2 separate regions of the Mus musculus genome follow, and region 2 is reported to be linked to region 1. Evidence: microRNA targets listed by miRTarBase, many of them from high-throughput screens and not tested one by one. Region 1 holds a microRNA gene; the other region holds the end of a gene's coding sequence.
The links. The annotated mature microRNA mmu-miR-5106 reads AGGUCUGUAGCUCAGUUGGCAGA and lies in region 1 at 1,359-1,381, shown strand. An mRNA with a match to its seed (bases 2 to 7 or 8) in the 3' UTR can be bound and repressed. Matches are read on the target gene's strand: a 7mer-m8 pairs with bases 2 to 8, a 7mer-A1 pairs with bases 2 to 7 and ends in A, and an 8mer does both.

Region 2: miRTarBase lists Hmmr as a target of mmu-miR-5106. Seed matches in the 3' UTR shown: 7mer-A1 at 2,792-2,798.

Annotation. Positions count from the first base shown.
Region 1 is chr4:44,219,170-44,222,577 of GRCm38, reverse strand. It overlaps Mir5106 (microRNA 5106), which reads left to right and starts at 1,311; the gene lies at 1,311-1,383. The region is part of intron 1 of Rnf38 (ring finger protein 38); the gene reads left to right.
Region 2 is chr11:40,699,839-40,703,246 of GRCm38, forward strand. It overlaps Hmmr (hyaluronan mediated motility receptor (RHAMM)), which reads right to left. Exons shown (of 18, transcript NM_013552.2): 18 at 1,550-3,020. The coding sequence ends at 3,001. Among named protein-coding and RNA genes, the nearest start is that of Mat2b, 8.9 kb to the left of the region's middle.

The sequences.
Region 1 (3,408 bases):
TTCTCTGTGTAGGCCTGGGTGTCCTGTGTGGGGCCGTGGGCGCCAGGGGAATAAAGGGGAGTGGGAGAAAACCCGTGTCCCACCAGAGTTCTGGTGCTCTGGGCGGGTGGACGTGGGAGACTGCCGTACGCTTTCCATGGGGTCCCGGGTGGGTGTCTGGCTGTGGGAAGCCATGGAATCCCAGCTCGGCAGGGGGAGGGGGTGGACAAGGGGCAGTCCTAGGCACCAGGTTTCCAGCCTCCAGCATCCCACGCTGGATACAGCTGCGGAAGAGCTGAGAACAGAATGGAGGCCCCTGGGCGGCACTGAGCCCCGGAGCTGAAGAGAGAAGAGGGCAGGGGGAAAGGGCGCTTGATGGTTCCCACGCTGGCGAGAGTCCCCTGGCTAGAGCACAAGAAGACCTTCCAGCGGGAAGTTAGAAGGGCTCTTTAGGTGAAAGTATCCCATCGTTCAAGCATGGTGGACTTTGATGATCAGAGACAGTCTGTGGTTTTAGAGCTTTATTGTAGAAAAGTGGGGGGAAAGAGAAAAGGTAGAAAGAGAGAGGGACACAGATGTACATGCAGACACACCACTCAAATGCATAAAATAAATCAATCCAAAAAACAAGAGAGAGAAACAGTGAGGGAAGGAGGGAGGGAGGAAGGGAAGGAGGAAGGGAGACAGAGACAGAGACAACATAAAATACACCAAACAATTGTTTGTAGAGGTGAACTCAGTTGGAATGCCTGCCTAACATGTATGAGACCTTAGGTTCTGTTCTCAGCACCCTGTAAACTTAAGAGGAGGAGTTCAAGGTCATCCTTGAATATAGAGTTGAGGGTAGCTCGGGCAACAAGGGGATTCCGCTGCTCAAAACAAAACAAACTTGCTTGGTTAAGCAACCTCAAAACAAACAGCAATAGTGGCCTGGAGTCTTTTTAGTGTGTGGATAAAGGACTGTCCATAATTCATATCGCTGTGTGTTCTGTATAAGTTGATAGCTATGAGCTGGCCCATCTTCCTGGGAGCCAAATTCACAGTTTGACTTTGATTCTTGCTTTTTGCATGATTCTATCCTTGTTTAAGGAAATCTGGACATAAACCTATTTCTGCACAAATACTGCTGGCAGCCTCATTATAAAGAGCATGTCCAGGTCGGGTGGTAGTAGTGCATGCCTTTAACCCAGCACTCTGACTGTTGGAGGCAGTGGAATTTCTGAGTTAAAGGCCAGCCTGGTCTACAGATTGAATTCCAGGACAGCCAGGGCTACACAGAGAAACCTTGTCCAGAAAAACCAAACCAAACCAAGCAAGCAAACAAACAAAAACACTCGAGCAACAACAACAGCAACAACCCGAGAGCCTATCTAGGGCCTAGGTCTGTAGCTCAGTTGGCAGAGTACTTCCTCAATGTGCCTGAGGCTATAGGTTCAATTCCCAGTAAGACTGTCCAAATAATCATGAGTGCACACCAGAAGAGGGCATGGGATCCCACTGCAGATGGTTGTGAGCCACCATGTGGTTGCTGGGACTGAACTCCAGACCTCTGAAAGAGAGTCCAGTGCTCTTAACTGCTTAGCCATCTCTCTACCCCTTTTAAGACTTTAAAATAAGGGTATTACTAATTTGAAAGCTAAATTTATGAGACTAAAAATTACATATTACATTAGGAGAGGCTAGAGAGATGGCATAGTAGTTAAGCACTTCTCTTGCAGAGGACCAGGCTTCAGTTCTAGAGGATCTAGTGTTTTCTTCTCACCTCCACAGGCACCAGGCACCCATGGCCCACATACGTATGTGCAGGTAAAACATTCACACATACATTTTAAAAAATTACACACGTATCTGTGCTTACTAGTTGTTTTTTTTTTTAAATAGAAACTCTGTGTGTGTGTGTGTGTGTGTGTGTGTGTGTGTGTGTATCTGTACACATACCTGTGCTGTAGCATGCAGTGGAAGTCAGAGGACAACTTATGGCAGTTGATTCTCTTTCTACCATGAGAATTTTGGGAATCAGACTCAGATTGCCAGGCTTGCTTGCAGGTTCCTTAATCAATAATCAATTTTACTGGCTCTATTTTTATCAGTTTTTAGTGGAAGATGTAAGTTTTTATTCTCCTCTCCTCTCCTCTCCTCTCCTCTCCTCTCCTCTCCTCTCCTCTCCTCTCCTCTCCTCTCCTCTCCTTTTCTTTCTTTTTCAAGACAGGGTTTCTCTGTGTAGCCCTGGCTGTCTTGGAACCCACTTTGTAGACCAGGTTGGACTGGAACTCACAAAACCTACCTGAGTTCCTCCCAAGTGAGCCATCACTGTCTGACCATAACATTTTCTAGAGTGGTAGTGCATGCTTGTAATTCTAATGTGACTGGTGAAGTAGAAGTAGCAGCTTTAGGCCAGCCTGGGCTACATACACCAGCTCCTAAAACCAAAATAATAGTTCCTCTTTTAATCTAGTGTGTTGATCAGGAGTTGTTTTATTTTAGCTTAAATTGTGTACTATCACCTGGACTGTTTCATTTATAAATATATGTTTCTTCTGGACAAATAGCTCTTGACTATTCCCTGCAGTCTGGTAGCCACTAAAATTAGTGACTGGGTAAACCTGTCTACAGTGTACTAGGCATAGTTAGGATTTGAGAGATGATGCAGACATGCAATAGCACCTCATTGAAGGGGTATGACAATGGGCTAGCATCAGAACAAAGGGATTAGGGAGTCTTTTTTTTTTAAGATTTACTTATTATTATATCTAAATAGACTGTAGCTGTCTTCAGACACACTAGAAGAGGGCATCAGATCTCATTACGGATGGTTGTGACCTACCATGTGGTTGCTGGGATTTGAACTCAGGACCTCTGGAAGAGCAGTCGGTTCTCTTAACTGCTGAGCCATCTCGCCAGCCCCCAGGGATTCTTGGCCCTTAACGAGTACAGAGAACAAAAATGAGACTAGCCGGGTGTGATGGCGCACGCCTTTAATCCCAGCACTTGGGAGGCAGAGGCAGGCGGATGTCTGAGTTCGAGGCCAGCCTGGTCTACAAAGTGAGTTCCAGGACAGCCAGGGCTACACAGAGAAACCCTGTCTCGGAAAAAAAAAAAAAAAAAAGAGACTAATGGTAGTGATATGACTAGCTATCATTCCTGTGGTCCCAACGCCTGAGGGGTGGAGGCAGGTGAAACAGGCTATCATTATATGTGGACTCTTAGGCCATTCTGAACTACAGGAGTCCCTGGTTAAAAAACAAACAAAAATGGGTACAATATGATGACCCTGATAATTAATCCTTTAAAGCACAGACTCAAGCCACCAGAGATGGTTCAGTGGTTAAAGAACTTCCCACACAGCACTGGGAGCTCTGACTTCTATACATGCAGTTAGGTACCCCACGCCCCCACGTAAAAATAGAAGTTTTTGAGACAGCTTACATT
Region 2 (3,408 bases), not on the chromosome of region 1:
GGACTTGAGCGGAGGCCCAGCTTCGGGGGTCTTACAGCATAAACCCACATATGCTTAGGATATTGGATACGATTTGCTCATGAGTCAAAGATAGGAGTCTTACTTAACCTAGTAAGGTCTACTAAGCCTAATAGTTTTATTGTCATGTGTGTCGAGTGTGCAATAGGAAGTGGCTCTCTATCCCTAGCCACTCGTTCCTCTGACATAGGATCTCTTCCTGAACCTGAAGCTTGCTGTCTTTGTGGCTAGGCTGTGAGTCCTAGTGATTCTATTACAGGTCTCAGACCTGGGTTTCAGGTGAGCACCAGATGCCTGGCTTGTTGACTGGGTGGATCCTAAGACTCAAACTCTGGTCCTCCTGATTGTGCTGTAAGCACTCAATCATTGAAGCGAATCTTCAGTTCCACAGATGCTACCTGGTAAGATAGTCATTACAAAACCAGTAGTCCACAAAAGAGCTGACTATCCTGTTTTTCCTGTGTATAGTTACTATGACTAAAGGCTATATGTTTCTACAAAATACTAAAAGAAGAATGACTAACATAAATTTTCAATGTAAAAATAAATATGTAGTCAGAAGTGGCAATTTCTTTCTTTGGAGACCATTTATTTTGTCATGTGATGTTTTTCTGGAAACATCGTATGAGAGGATGTTTTTGCTAAAGCAGACACGTGGGAGGGATGTTTTGCTGAAGCAGTCTGTTGTTTTTCTGGAAGCTGCTTGGAAAAAGGGCATGTGATGTCTTGGTGGAGCAGACACTCGGCAGAACATGTGATGTTGGGATAGGGTATAAGTGTAACCCAACAAACAGACAGTGAACTATGCTAGTTGGTATTGGTTCACCTTGCCACTCTTTGGTGGTCTTGTTTGACAATGCTGTGGCATTGGTTTGGCTTGCCTTCCTTGCTGATCACTGTTGTGACTTCTTTAAAGTATAGAATATAGTTTATTTAGGGGAGGGGTGTTAAGAGTAGTAGAGACAGAGAGAAGATAAGTGGAGACCGGCCATGACCATGTGGACAGAGGGAGGAAGGGAGTGAGGAGAGAGCGAGCACAAGGAGGCAAAAGAGCAAGAGTGTAAGAGCTGTTGTGACTTTGTAGAGAGAAATGCGCCATTTGTATAGATGTTTCAAGTGGATCAAACTACTGCTGCTGATTCTGTGAGCTGAACTGCTGATATCCTGACAAAGCAGATTGGATTCACCAAAGAATTGTTTCTGAACAGGGCCACATCCTCCTTTGACCTTTTATGATGAGTGGAAGGCTAGAAAGGAGTTTAAAGCATTTTAGTACACGTATTAACGTAGGTTTAGAAAAAAGGGCCTACAATAGTCTTGGCTGGCCTGGGACTTGCTATGTAGTCCGATCTTATCCGTCTGCCTCTACCTCCAGAATGCTAGGATAAAAGGTGTGTTACACTACCCCTGGCATATATTGGGAAAGGTATCATTTATTATTCTGGGGGAAAATTAGGAGGAAAGATAGACACAATTAAATCTTAACCAGAAGCAATATTGAAATTCATTAAATAAAAATTAATCACTGATTGGGTGTATGAGTTTTTATATTACTTTATTTTATATTACACACACATTCAGAGGATATGCAGATGATAAATTCTCTAAAAATCATACATGTAAAGTTTTTCAGATTTGCTTGAGAGCCTGGCCATGTGATGCTTGCCTTAAATCCTAGTAATTGGGAGACATAAGCAAGGAGATCTGAGTAAAAGGCCTGCCTAGTCATAGGAGGGAAGTGTTTTCTGAGAGCACAAAGAGGCTGTGTTCCAGAGATAGACAAGGTTCTACCTTAGCTGCAGCTGGACTTGGTTATGTTTAAGAGTCATACTGGTTTTGAAGACATAAAGAGCAGCTGAGGCTTGGCATGTGAGAGGCCATGGAAGGCCACTGGTAAAGGTGCAGCCTCAGTAGCAGTTGATGGCCCAGGACTGAAGGGGTCATGCAAAGGATTTGAGGCTTGGCACCATGAAGAGAGCCTATGAGAGGCTATTGGTGAAGCCTAGTTACAGCAAAGACAACAGTGTTTTGGAGATGCCAGTACCATAAATGACTACCAAGAACAGCAGCAGCAGTGGAGTACAGGCATCTGGAGCCTAGAAGACAAGTTGTGTGCTACAAAGGGCAGAGCTAGAGAAGTGACCCAAGCCCTTGGAGGGTCCCAGACGTTTGAGGTTGTAGTTTGATTTTGCTTTTAATTGTTTGTGACTGTGCCCTGATATTTTTCCCTCTTGAAGGAAGAAAGTATTTTAGTGGAGACCACAGTTAAGAGACTTTTTAATTGTAAAAAGACTTTGAATTTTAAAAGAGATTGGATATTTTAAAGGGATTGAAATTTTAAGAATTTTCAAAGACTGTGGGACTTTTAAAGTTATTTTGATCATGGGGATTAATAAGAAAGTAAGGGTTGAGGCTTAATAGTAATGTGTTTGTGTGTCAACTTGACACCACCTGGAGTTATCACAGAGAAAGGAGCTTCAGGTGAGAAAATGCCTTCATGAGATCCAACTGTAAGGCATTTTTCTCAATTATTGATCAAGGGTGGGAGGGCCCCTTGTGGTTGGTGCTGTCTCTAGGCTGGTAGACTTGGGTTCTGTAAGAAAGCAAGCTGAGCAAGCCAGGGGAAGCAAGCCAGTAAGGAATGTCCCTCCATGGCCTCTGCATCAGCTCCTACTTCCTGACCTGCTTGAGTTCCAGTCCTGACTTCCTTTGGTGATGAACAGCAGTATGGAAGTGTAAGCTGAATAAACCCTTTCCTCCCCAGCTTGTTTCTTGGTCTGATGTTTATGCAGGAACAGAAACCCTGACTAAGACAGAGAACAAATGCTGAATTACCGTTTCATATACCTAAGACTAGGCAGTAGAAATTAAATACATTATATAATATATACTATAAACATAATATCAAGAACAATGAAGAAAATAATCTTCAACAAGTATTTCAGACGTATACTTCCATGATTCTTGAAGTTGCATCTGAACTCAGCAGCAGTTTGGGTTGCCTGAAAAAGAGTATGACAAGGAGCTTTAAGTCTTTTATATTAAAACTACTAACAGATGAGCCAGGCTATCGATGTAGCTCAGGTACAACTTGCCTAGTATGTTCATGGGCCTGGAAATAAATCCTTGAAAATCAAACCAAACCAAATTCCTAAGCCATTATAAACTAAAACTAATCTAGTTTTAGATATGGTACTATAGAAGTACCATAATTATATGTATAATATATCATAGTATAATATACATATATATTACACACATATAGTACAGTACATATATACATATAATATATATTTGGTATTTCAAACAGTTAGGACTCAATATACAAAGTTTCTGTTAAGAAAAAAGCCTCTCGGGCTGGTGAGATGGCTCAGTGGGTAAGAGCACCTG